Linked DNA regions of Drosophila melanogaster. The protein of the gene in region 1 interacts with the protein of each later gene in a pairwise test. Each region holds a gene or a part of one and is shown on either strand. Other genes may lie near its edges. The genes, in order: CG11085 and CG6769.

What was found.
Region 2: the proteins of CG11085 (region 1) and CG6769 interact in a two-hybrid assay, tested with the Drosophila melanogaster proteins (one large-scale study listed by BioGRID).

What each region holds. Positions count from the first base shown.
Region 1 is NC_004354.4:12,614,572-12,623,029, forward strand, and holds CG11085 (uncharacterized protein), read left to right. Parts: upstream 1-1,744; 5' UTR 1,745-2,105; coding exon 2,106-2,178; intron 2,179-5,080; coding exon 5,081-5,642; intron 5,643-6,097; coding exon 6,098-6,350; 3' UTR 6,351-6,645; downstream 6,646-8,458. Other genes in the region: Fpgs1 (folylpolyglutamate synthase 1), read left to right, coding at 1-279, 346-766.
Region 2 is NC_004354.4:17,859,340-17,864,588, reverse strand, and holds CG6769 (uncharacterized protein), read right to left. Parts: upstream 3,588-5,249; 5' UTR 3,426-3,587; coding exon 2,910-3,425; intron 2,752-2,909; coding exon 2,389-2,751; intron 2,316-2,388; coding exon 1,965-2,315; 3' UTR 1,814-1,964; downstream 1-1,813. Other genes in the region: mnb (minibrain), read left to right, coding at 44-969; Arp8 (Actin-related protein 8), read left to right, coding at 3,863-3,867, 3,936-4,521, 4,587-5,249.

The DNA.
Region 1 (8,458 bases):
TGCTCCGATTTGGCAGACCTTCAGTAACTTAATTCGCCTAAATGGCTCATTGGCCATTCAATTGGCCCAAGATTGGTTGTCGCAGTCGGGAAAACAGCAGCACACTCCCAACGAGGTGAAAATGGATCCACAGCTGCTGGACGGACTGATTAGCACCCACTGGCCCGGTCGGTGCCAGCTAATCGAATGGCACGGGATGCGATTACATCTGGACGGAGCTCACACTCTGGAAAGCATGGAAGTGTGCACGGACTGGTTTGAAAAAAACGTGCGAGACAGGTGAGCGGAGTAGGAGGAGATGGTCCTATAATACATAACTGATTCGATTGACTTCCTCATTTGCAGTGTCAATCCAAAGATTCTGATCTTTAATCGCACCGGAGAATCCGGTTTCGCACCTCTGCTAAAGCTACTCAACCGCACCTGTGACTTTGACATGGTCTGCTTTGTGCCCAATTTGGCCACCTCAACGCCAAATGCTCCCAGCCAGGTGATGGTTCGTTTTAGTCCCGAAATGCAATTGAATCGGGCGAGGATCATTGCCTCAGCTTGGAGTGACCTCTGCGCAACGGAGCAAAAAAAAGATGTGGGTCAGGTGTATAATACGCTAACCGACGCTTTTACTGCCATCAGGCAAAGATTTCCACAAGCCACAGACAATGAGGGACAACTAGAGGTCCTCGTCACCGGTTCCATTCATCTGCTGGGAGCAGCTATAAGTGCCCTAGATCTTATCGATGATCCCAAATCTAGAACTGATAAATAAGACACATTCCTAACCAGGAGAACCGGCTGAAACACTGGGATTGCTATTAGATTAGCTATTAGATTTAGAAGTCGAAGCAAGCCACTTGCATATCACTTAGTGGAACTTTAACATGAATCGCTGAAAGCATCAGCTAATAAATGTAGTTGTAGTTAATAATAAAACAATATTTGAAATATTGTGTAGAAATAATAACCCTATGAAGTGTTTTATGCCCATTTTTAGTTAGCAGCAAACTTATGATTAATGGAATAAAAGTTTGCATATATAGTGTGTATGCCACAATACTTACTCACTAAATATTCAAAATGGGTGATTTTAAATCCTTACGGACATCGAACAGAGTTGCCAACTCGCCGACGGTGTTTCGTTGATTTCTGGTCCTTTTACCTTTTTACATACCACTTTGGTGCGTTTTAGAGCTCGTAACTCGTGCGACTGACGCAGATTTCAAAGGCGACATTAGACTGGGCCAAGGAAATGCGAGAGCTTTAAGGGTTGCTTTTTTCCCCGGGCCATTTAGGGGTGGCCCAGAATGACAGCCAATGGCGCGGCGGCAACCCTGGGCGAAGAGAGAGACAGCAAGCTGTTGTCCACCTGCTCTCCCACCGGGCTAACGGCAAACAAAATGGCTAACGGGACAGCGGAAGTCGGTGAGCGAGCGGGATGGCATGCTGCTGTTTTGTTGATGCTGTGTGTCTAAGGCAACTGATTAAATAACGGTTAAATGGCAGCGGCCATTGCGAAAGTTTCCTTTTTGTAGCTACATTTTTTTTCACTCATTTTGCTGTTGTTGTTGCTGGACTTTTCCTCTGCAAACGTCGACGTCGACGTGGGCGCTAAACTGTCCCGTTTACAGCAACAAATCCGCGTAATTCACTTGTGTGTGTGTGTGTGTGAGGGGTGAATCCTGGCGATGTTCGCTAAAAGGATTAATAAACGTTCGACGTTTCGCATTTCAGTTGTTCATTTGACTCGGCGCTTAGCGGTTCAGTTACAGTTACTTTCTGTCCGTCTGTCTGTGTGAATGTGTGTGTGCGTGTTTCGTACTGGAAAATTCGATTACGCGTAGAACAGATCGAAGGCGCAATTATAATCGCTAAATTTGCACAGCACTGCCGTCGGCCAAACGCCAAAGGATAAAATAAAAAGGGATCATCAAATAAAAGCCTTCAAAGCCACTTAACAAATAAACAAGGACAACGGATTAATTTTTGTTATTGTTGCAACGGGATTTCTAGTGCAAAATGTTTCAAATGTGCCAGTTACTTTGAAAATCTGATCTAAAACAAACACACTTAAGCACCGCTTTTGCCATAAGGACTGCAGATCCATCAAAATGCAGAGCTCAAAATCTTTTTTAATACGCGATCTTCTGGGCGATTTGATTAATCGACGACAAACAGATTCGGGTAAGTTTTGAAAATATTTTGTACCATTTAAGTCCTTTGAGGTATATCATTTACCATATTTATCGACTATATGATATATCTATGAAACCATAACAATTCTGCTACTATAACAAGTATCAAAATAAATATATTCCTTTATTGATAATAATTTGTTTCCTTAACTAGATATTATTTGTAAAAAGGAATATCTAGTTTATATCAGTTCTCTGCTAATAATAGATATATTTTTCAAAACAAACAATTTCGTAGCTCCATACTAATTGTAAATAACAAGACTTCCATGTAATTAAATATAACCTATCATTTTGCATACACCCACACATGTGAAATAAACATACATAATATAAACGCCTTTTTTGGCCAATTAGCCTGCTCATTGTTCCAATCTCCCGTTCTTTGATGTTTTGCTGTTGGCTGAGGGGTAAATAAGGGGAGTTTTTGGCTAAAACCACTGACAAATTGCCTTGCTCACTCTCTTTTGACGCCCCCAATTCTGTCATCTGTTTTTTTTTTTTCACCCGCCTGTGGCATTTAAATCTCACACTTTGCTCAATTATCGCAAAAACAAAAACTTTTAGCGGTGTGAGTGAGATGGCGATGAGAGCGAGTGGGATGGCTAGACAGCGGGTGAGCGAGAGGGGTTGAGTGGAAACAACAAAAACCACAGCTTCAGGCAGTAATTTATTTGTGCACTGCTTGCTTGCACCGAAAAATATTATTTTTCAATACGATATCTTGATTTTGTTTTATATTTATATATATCAAAAAATATGTTAGCTTCTGGAAAATTTAAGATTTCAATAGATTTGCTAATTATTGTCATTTTCCATATATTTTTTGATATACTTTATAGCCATATTTTCTGACTGTGTGAGTTTGGCAGTTAATAGTATTTTTGTTGCTGTTGACACTGCTTTATTCGTAACCTGCGCTCAAGCAATTTGTCACGTACGAGCACTTTAATTGTTTTTAGCCAGGGGATCGGAAACCGAAAGGGAAAATGTCGTGGTGGATGCGAATGCAAATGGGACTGAAAACTCAGTCATGACAAATGCTTTTGCATCCTCGCACAAGTACACAGAACAAATCGAATCGTGATCTTTACTAGTGTTAACTTTGAGTCAAGAAAATATAATAACACAAAAGTCATCTTCAAGTACTAAAGAAAAAATAAATTATTAAGGATATATATATAAAAAATATGCATAGATTAATATACTCATTCCACATTCGATTTAAATGGCTCTTTACATTTTTTCGCAGTGTACCGCCTGCGGTGCCCGCTTACGTATGCTTTGTTTTTTGGTTGGTTTGTGCCAACTGCATGTGTTATCCTCTAATTAGGCATGACATTAAATAAAGTTTAGCTCAACAATTACAACTATTTAGAGGCTAATTGCTGTCAGTTAGAGAGGATGAAAATGAAACTTTCACTGCAAGTATACCTTACGTTTCGATTTTGCCTAAAATCAATGCTAGTAACGGCATGGATAAATAAAAAAAAAAAGAAATTTGTATATTATTAGGACACACATACGTTATTCCAATGTCCAAATTGCCGGCACATGCGAGCCCATTTCACCCACTTTCTCCATCCAATACGACAAGTCACCGGCTTTCGCCTGTCTTCAATCTTCAGATGTGTGTCTCACAGTTCAAGTGCCTATTAAATGGCAATTGTGCCGCAAATTGATACGACGTGACTTTTCGAGAAAAATGAAAGAACTCACTCGAGACGCTCCCCAGGATATCCACACATAATTGAATATCCCCTCACATGCATAGACATATGTACAATACATATGTATATCCACCATCTACCCTTCCGTCCTGTCTGCGCAAATCGTTATAAATGGAATCAGATGTCGAAACCCATTTGGGGTTAAAATACACAAATATAAAAATAATTTCCGCCCGTTCAGTTGGCACTCCAGAAAGTGGGCAGAAAACATAGAAGAATCCTTGCTGGGCGAACACACGTGAGCGCCTGTGGCGAATCGAAAATTATGTTCTTCTAAAAAGTTGAGTGTTAAGTAAGCGCCACTGGGCAAAAAAATTGAGAAATTGTATTCATAATGTGCAAAAGTTGGTCGAGTGTTAAAAGGTTTCTATTTTTTTCCAATATAACTCTGGTTTTTATAAATAGAAAATAAATATATAAATGGCATTGAAAACGTATTTTATTCCGATATAAATAGTACGAAAAAGTTTTCTTTTGATTTTGTTTAAGAAAGTAAGTAAGTACTTGTAAGCGAAATATTTCTCTCAGTGCAGCGTGGAGCAGACCATGTAAATTCCAATAGGAAAAACAATTGAGAGCTCGTCGACACGTGAATTTAATCAGGCAGCCCGCAGCGTGCGATTTTCGAGTCCGGATTCGAGTCCGATTTGGGATTGTGTTCAGGATGCGATGTATGTATGTGCGACGGATATAAATAACATGTTGATTGCTGCAAATTGCAACTCATCCGATTCGCCGCCCCATCATCCAAACGGACCAACGCCCACTTGATTCTCCCATCCGATTTGATAGCACTTCATCCAATGCGATTGTCTATTGCATTGTGTGGTGTGGTGTGGTGTAGCAATGGGTTTCCCAGGTCGCTTCTCGACCGGAAGTGGTTGCACGCGCGAAAAGAAGAGGTTGAACGCATTAGTGCCACGCTGCGCCTGAAAACAGGCAACAGTGTCTTAAAGTCGGTATCTTTATACCGGCGTCCACTTGACACTCGGCCTGCACTCTGCACTCCAATTGAATCCACGAGTCGTGGTCAATCAAATTTTGAAAATTTTTAAATGAGTAGAAAGCCTATTGTTTGCATATAAAAACAGGATGTCTTTGGGATAATCTAACAAGTGCAACTACATTTTAATAATCCTCCCTTTGATTTCCTATTTCCAGAACTGGAGCTCTCCAACGACGATTCGGATATAGACATTGAGGATCGATCTACGCCGGACTCGACGGCTGCGGGCTGCCAGCAGGAGCTACTGCTGTCGCACCATCACCGCAGATTCACCCACCACGACGAATCCAGTGTGGAGTCCTGCCTATCGGCCACAAGGGGCCCCGGCTCTGGCACAGGATCGGGTGGTGGCGGAGGTGGTGGTGGTGGAGGAGGAGTAGCCAGCGGACTGAGCGCCGCTGCAGCGGCGGCGGGCGTGGCTGCTGGACTCCTGGCAGCGGCGGCCAGTGGTGCCAATGGGGATCGGGATGCCAACGGTGGCAGTGGCCCGGGATCCGGTGGCGGTACAAGTGGCGGCTATGCGGAGCACAAGCTGCAGCTGAGCAAAAGTGGCCGGAAGCCGCGACGCCGCCGAACCGCCTTCACCCACGCCCAGCTCGCCTACTTGGAGCGGAAGTTCCGGTGCCAGAAGTACCTGAGCGTGGCCGATCGCAGCGATGTGGCCGAAACGCTCAATCTGTCCGAGACGCAGGTGAAAACCTGGTACCAGAATCGCCGGTGAGTGTTGATCGAGAGCAAATCCCCAAGTTGGAAAGGAGCCACTTTATTAATTGCTTTTTAAATTAAAACGATAATGGATAATGAAACAATAAGTTTTGATTAGAAAAGAATCAAATATCTTCCATTCGCGGATAGAATAATGAACTATTTGATTTTGTTTCACTATTTTAAATTGCAGTAAGTACAGTTGCGCTCATAGTGCTTCAACCGATCGCAAACGTCTGGCAACGCAAAACCTTGTATTTTGCGCAGTACAAATTGTATTTTTAAGTATATACATATTAATATTAATAATGGCTTGTTATTATAGTTTACCAAAGCCAATTTTATGTTGAGTAAGATTACTAAAAAAATATAGAATTTATTGGTACAATCACGCTAAAGTGATCCCATATTCAATTCTAACCGTGTGGCAACGATTGTAAGCGCTTCATTTGCCTTTTCCATTGCAGGACCAAATGGAAGCGACAGAATCAACTGCGTCTGGAGCAGCTGCGTCATCAGGCGACCATGGAGAAGGATTTTGTGGTCCAGGATGGCGGCGGTGCGGGCGGACTCGGCTGCTGTCCCAGCGGACTGAGCAGTTCTTTTAGTGCCGCCGCCGCTGCTGCAGCGGCTGCCAGCAATCCTTGCAATTTTCTCACTTCCGCCGCAGCGGCGGCCATTTTCCGTAATGTCGGCTATGTCCACGGATGTCCCATGTAGGAGCCACGCCCCAAACTCTCCCATAATACCATTTTCCCCAGCTGCCTGTGTATATAATGCGTATGAAGAAAACCGTTTTTGTGCAATAACCGATCGGGACAAATTAATGAAAGTCAAGCGATGTGCTGATATTTACCAAGCATACCCGATATTATTATTATAATACGTACTTAACAATATAATCATAAAAATAAGCGTAGTCGAATTAATTAATTGTATTATAAAACTAAAAAATTTTTTTTTTCACATCGCACTCTATGGAATTTTTTTTTGGCCAGAATAAACATTCAATTGCAAGTCTTTAAGCGTTTTCACTTGGGAGGTGATCTAATTGAAATTAATTATAAAAAAACTTAATCAAAGCTAACTAGTATAAATAATAGGTCTTATTTACTTTACTGGTTTTGTTACAGAATTAAGCTCCATTTGCGAATAACAAATCAAACGTTCAACTTCCGATAAATTTGAGAAACGATAATGATCGATCACTAAAATCGATCGTTACCGATTGTTCAATTTTACCAAAAGTCTTTTATACATGTGCTGTGTTGGCTGCAATTTAATATTTAATAATTCACAAAGGAATCGAATGCAACGTATCGGTTAAATGCCGCTCGCCCATCTGCGTATCTGCAAATCGGTGAGCTGTGAGTCATGCTTGAAAATCAACTTGAGCGAATCGCACAAAACGATATCAATTTGTCGCTATATAGCAAATAGCCCGCGACATATGCCCACCCAACGGGCAGGATATCGCGTCTACAGCTACATATGTATATAGATCCACTCTATATATATTATTTGCATGGAGCTGTGAGAGAGAGGGCGATATAGAGTGAGAAAGAGAGGAAGGATGAAGCAGCCAACCGGAAAACAAGCAACAACTCTGGTCGCAATTATAACGGGCCAACGGAGCGCAGAGAGCGCATGAGCGGGGGCGTGCGACAGAAAGAGATGGCAGCAGTGCGTCCTGGCAAACGAGGATGCGATAGCACCGTCATATACAGTAGGGATTCCCTAGCACAAACTGAAAAGAAACCTACATCTAAGGACATTTCGATAAGAAACAGATATACAACATAGAGCATGCAACAATCATGCAATGTGATATATGAAGGAGAATGCAACAAACAACAACAAGAGCGTATGCATATATTTTGCAGATGACTTATTTCAATAACTGAGTGTGAAGATCTCTTATAATTCGCAACTAGTTCTGTCTCGAAATGAGTGTAGCTTCCACACTGTACCATCATATGGGCAGACAAATACTATGAAAAAATATTAAAAAAAAAAAATTAACTAGCGTAGATATATAAGAATTATTTTGCTTATTCAGTTCTTTCCATCGAGGATCGTCTGTAGCTACAGTTATATTTTCATGCCCATTTAGCTCGCTACACAAAAAGGAGGAGAAATGTTTAGCCACAAATTGAATCTGCGGTGAGTGAGTTAACGAGCGAGAGAGAGGTCTAGATGGATATAGTATAACCATGCCATAGTGTATGCCATACCATAGGACACCAGCTAACGCCAACCCAACCCAAGCCAACCCAACGAGGATATGGCATGATGATATAGGGGCAGACGACGTGGAACGGGTAGTAGTTTTCAAGTGGTGCAGAGCGGCACAGAACGCTAATTAAAAAGATACTTGATGGGAGCCACCGGAAACAAAACGGAAAAGCCAAAGAAGCGAGGCGGGCAATGCGAAAAAATGCGGGAAAAATGGCTGAAATGCGAATGAAAGGCAAAGGCGAATGGGATGGCAAGCAAGTTAACGTTGCCATGAAATCGTCTATGAAATGTGAATGTAATCTAATGAATAAAATGCATCTGCTAACCCCCATCATGCCAGCCACTTGCAGATACAGATAGATGATGGATGATTCTTTCACCGGTTTCCTTCGCGTTTTTTTTTTTTTTTTTTGATACCGCAAATTCTCACATTCATGCGGTTCATTTGCGCAGCCATTGAGATTTGAATGGCATTTTTAATTGGTACATTTTACGCAGCCATCCTTTGAGCACAAAGGCACCTCCTGCTCCACCAGCCCTTCTCCTTTGAGCTGGCCATCATTCAATTTGATTTGTATTTATTTAATGAG
Region 2 (5,249 bases), 5.2 Mb from region 1:
CATATGAAACCCATTTAAAGACAAACATCTATTTGTTTTTCAGGCCTGCTTATGCATTCGGTGGCAGCCAACGCGATGAACAACTTCTCCGCTCTGAGCCTGCAGTCCAACGCCCATCCGCCGCCATCGCTGGCCAATAGCCATCACAGCACCAACAGCCTGGGCAGCCTGAATCACATCAGTCCCGGCAGCACCGGCTGCCACAACAACAACAGCAACAGCAGCAACAACAACACACGCCACAGTCGTCTGTACGGCAGCAACATGGTGAACATGGTGGGCCACCACAACAGCGGCAGCAGCAACAACCACAACAGCATCAGCTATCCGCACGCCATGGAATGTGATCCGCCGCAGATGCCGCCACCGCCGCCAAACGGACACGGCAGGATGCGGGTGCCAGCGATAATGCAACTGCAACCGAACAGCTATGCGCCCAATTCGGTGCCCTATTACGGCAACATGTCGTCCTCGTCGGTGGCTGCGGCGGCGGCAGCGGCAGCAGCTGCTGCCTCGCACCTAATGATGACCGATTCGAGTGTGATTAGCGCCTCGGCGGCGGGCGGTGGCCAGGGCGGCGGCAATCCCGGCCAGAATCCGGTTACGCCGTCAGCTGCCGCCTTTCTCTTCCCATCTCAGCCCGCCGGAACGCTCTATGGCACGGCGCTCGGTTCGCTGAGCGACCTGCCACTGCCGATGCCACTGCCCATGTCCGTGCCCCTGCAACTGCCGCCCTCGTCGTCGTCGTCCGTCTCCTCGGGATCAGCATCGGTTGGATCCGGAGGAGTGGGTGTCGGCGTGGTTGGCCAAAGGCGGCACATCACCGGACCCGCCGCGCAGGTGGGCATCTCTCAAAGTGTCGGCAGTGGCAGCAGCGGCTCGGCCACCGGAGCCAGCAGCAGCGATGCCTCCTCGTCGTCACCCATGGTGGGCGTTTGTGTTCAACAGAATCCTGTAGTTATACATTAGCATAAACTGGAAGCAAGCAAAGAACGTTGGATGCTCGCTTAAAACACTACTTTTCACGCCCTTTGCCGCTCTCTGCTGCTATTTATTGCACCGCCAACCAACGCCTCCACCCGCCCACAAACCAAGGAACCACAAATTCACCAACGCAGCAGCACCATAGTTGGTCGGTAATCGGGGGTCTTGTCCACACGTTTTTCCAATTTTACATACCATGTACGATGTACTTCGATGTACATATACTACTAATTTTGACGAATAATTGTTAATATTTTCATCTGCGCTTTTGTAAGATCTTAAGTGAAGAAAATTTCTGTTCTATGTAGACAATTTTAAATGAAAATTCTTTTAATTAGCGATTGTGACAACGTGACTTCAATTGGATAAATAGCGAAGATCATTTTGTTTTGTTTGAGTGGTAATAGTCACACTTTCAGCTTTTCCTGAAAAGAAGCTGAGATTCTTGGTTCATTGTAAGACAAGACGCCCGATGAAGATCACTGCAACACAGACACATGTCCAAAATAAAAATACATTAACATTAACTAGCTGAAATTGACCCTCAGGTCCCACGAAACACACGAAAACTCACTCACCTGCGGTTCTTACTGATTAGTCACTTCGAGCTCTCACCGCCGCGCCCACAGCACCGGCCACGCCCCCAGTCGCCCGGGATCGGGGAGGGGATGCCGTGTGGGCGCCTTGATGGATTCGGCAGAGTTTATTTTTTTACACGCTAGAACCTATTTTTTTTTTTGGTCTAATTATAATGTTTAACTTTATGCAGTAACCGTAACGACATACTTTTACTTTATATAAACGAATCAAAATTAAACTTTATTTAATTGTTAATTTAAATTATGTAATTTTATTCGACGAGAAATCGCTAGTAATATAGAAAGCAAACAAATATGCTTAATTTAAGCAAAACTCAAAAACTTTTTATTGTACAAGTAGGGGGGAGGCCAATAGCATTTGGAAAGAAAAGCAAGCGATGATTAGATCAGAACCTGTGCACGATAGTGCTTCTGCAGCTTATTGGCCTTGCAGCCGAGCTTCATCTGCCACTTGGACTGGACGCGCTTCATCAGATGAATGTCGCGTGCCTTGCGGGCGGCGGACAGCTGCTGCGTTTGCGTCCAGCCCAGAGCCCGGTACTCGCTGAGCACGCGGTGCAGTTTGCGGTCGGACTTCTTGATGACGACGGCGCGTTCCGGACGAAGACGCTGCTTGTAGTAGCGAAGCAGGGAGCGATGACCAATGACCGCGCCTGAGGGCAGCACCAGCTGATACTCATCGCCATCGAGCAGATCCGGCACCACCTCTTCGTCAATGTCCATGCCCTCATTCTGTGCGGGTTAAAAGGTTTTCCAAGATTCAGTCAGCATAAATGGAGGTTTGCTTGTGCTATGTGATACTCACATTGTCCGGATAACTGCTGCTGTAGTCGTAGTATTCGGCATACTCGGCCAGCGCCACACCCTCGTGCAGCATCTGGCAGTGGCCCTTGTCGATCATGTGTTTGCGCACGGCGTCCAGGGAATAGAAGGTCTTGCCGCGATCGTTGCAGAACAGGCAGATGAAGTAGTTGGCCACCTTCTCGCCCAGGTAGTACAGAAGGCCCTCGATGTCCGTGCAGTACTCGGTGTCCGGAATGAAGAACGAGTGCGCCACGGACATGTGCTTTAGGTTCTCCACCAGATCCTCGCTGGCATGTGTGCAGAACAGGCAGTCGCGCTCGGTCAGCGGATTCTCGGGTATCTTGTCCCACTCATCGGAATCCACCTGCAAAAAATCAAGTTGTTCTTTATAAGAAGCTGTATACGTTGTAAAGGTGCATATCTTAACCAGGCATAGAATCTCCAAGGAAATCATTCTCAAGGTAACCCTTCTATGAGCAAGGAAAAGTCTAATGCGAGCTCTATCTGCATAGCGCTTCCTACCTCCTCCTCTTCAATGTCCTCGAAATCATCGTCGTCCTCGTCGACCATCTCCTCGTCGTTATTGGCCTTGACCACCCGCTCCGCGAAGGCCAGTCGACCCTTGCCAGCGGCTGCGGCGGCCAGGGCCGGATGGGGCCGCTGCTCCACGACGCTGCGCGTGCACACGGATGTGGCGGTGCTGGCGCTGCCGCCGCTAGCTGTCATCTGCTCGCGCTCGAAGCGGGCCAGCAGCTCCTTGTGCTTGCGGCTGTTCAGGTGGTTGTCGTGCGCCTTCTGGCTGGCGAATTGGCGTCTGCAGGCGTGGCAGTAGACACTTAGGTTCTGCTCCTCGAGTGCCGCGTCCGTGGCGCTGCGGGCGCTAAGAACGCGCTGCTGGAACTCCTCGGCCGTAACGGGCGGCAGCTGGGCCACCCTGCGCTTCAGATTGTAGCGATGCCAGTCGGTCTTGTAGTGATTCCGCTGCACATCCGCGCTGGCGAAGCGGGCATCGCAGTTCAGGCAGGTGAAGTGCGACATTGTGGCGCTGAGTGGATTCGATGATCGCTTGACTGGCACTCTCGTTTTCGTTGGCACTCTGGAATGGCGTATTTCACAATGGAAAGTAAGGCTGCTCAATTTAATGGTGATGATTAAAAAACAAAACCACGTTCTTGACAGTGTGACCAGACGGCACTCACGTCGGCACCATCCACACACAATATACTAAACAAAGAATTTGTTATATGTTATATATATGAGTGCTTTGAATTTCAACAATGAATTAATAGTAATTAATGAAAAATGAGTTTTGTAAATCAGCCCTATTTTTTTATTACTTTAACTTTCTGTTTTTCCTGTGTTCCTGTTTTATAAATGTTCTCATTTGCGCACCACGGTCACATTGGCTTTGTTGCCATTTGTTGTTGCCTCCGATTTCCGCATTTTCAAAGGATCCGGATTTCGGAAAGCAAACGATGCAGTAAGTGAATAAGTAAGTGGTATGTGAAGCAACTAATTTTGCAACTTGGCTACTCTCCCTTCGTCCAGACGATCCCGAGCCAGCAGCACCAGCAGTGGCCGGCATCCGGCGCCGCCGCCAATTGGGCTGCCCCAGCCGCAGGCGCAGCCACTGGAGGCGCCAAAGATTATCGTCATCCATCCTGGATCGCAGCACTTGAGGATCGGCAGGGCGGCCGACCTTAATCCGCTGACCCTGCTGCACGCGGTGGCCTACAGGAGGCGTCCGGGGGCCAGCGATAGGCCGCATCATGATCCGCTGCTGCCGCCGCTGGACAACGTCAACTCAAACTCCGGCCTGATGGTGGAGTTCGAGGAGCAGCGCCTGGTGGTGTCGCGCATTCTGCAGCACTGCGTCGTCGATAACAAAAACCGGTTGCGGGTGGCCACTCCGCCGCAGCAACTGGCCCACTTCAACCGGAGCAGTCAGGCGGAGAAGGTGCCGGCGCCCAGTGGCCAGATGGCGGACGAGCCCTGGCTGGATCGCGAGGCACCCGTGCTGTTCGACGACCGTATCCTGCGACTCGGTGCTGTGGATGCCCGCAACTACGACATCCATTTTCCCATTCAAAGGGGCGAGCTGAATGTGCACAACGAGAAGGGCGGCTCGCTACAAGTGTGTGCTGCGTTGTTCCTCGTAGTTTCCAAACTAAACTGATGAAGCTGTTTTTTTTTTTTCAGGCCAGCATGCAGCACTTGGAACGAATCTGGTCGTACGCCCTGGAAGAGCGTCTGAAGATCCCGCTGCGTAAACTGGGCACCCACTGCGCCGTCTTGGTGGTCAACGATGTCTATGTGCGGCGGCATCTGCGCGAGTTCGTGACCCTGCTGCTGAGGCGTTTGGGCTTTCGGCGCTGCTTCCTCGTCCAGGACAGCGTCGCCTCCACCTTTGGCGCCGGCATTGGGTACGGCTGTGTGGTGGACATTGGCGCCCAAAAGACCTCCATAGCCTGCATCGAGGACGGAATTTCGCAGCTGGATGCCAGGGTGCGGCTGTCCTATGGCGGCGGCGACCTGGATCAGGTGCTACTCCTGCTGCTGCGAAAGTGCGGCTTTCCCTATCGCGAGTGCAATGTGCAGGAGAGCTATGTGGATGCCCATCTGCTGGACGAGCTGAAGGAAAAGTTTTGCCACCTGAACGCCAGCGTTTGTGGCGCCCAGGAGAAGCACTTCAACCTGCGCAAACATAACGGCCAGTGGCTGCGCTACACCATACAGGTGGGCGATGAGGCCCTAATGGCGCCACTGGCCCTCTTCCACACGGAGCTGTTGAACATCACGGGCCGAACGAAAGCGGTTTTCACACAGCAGGCGGTGCAGGACCAATACGACTGCGAGGACTGC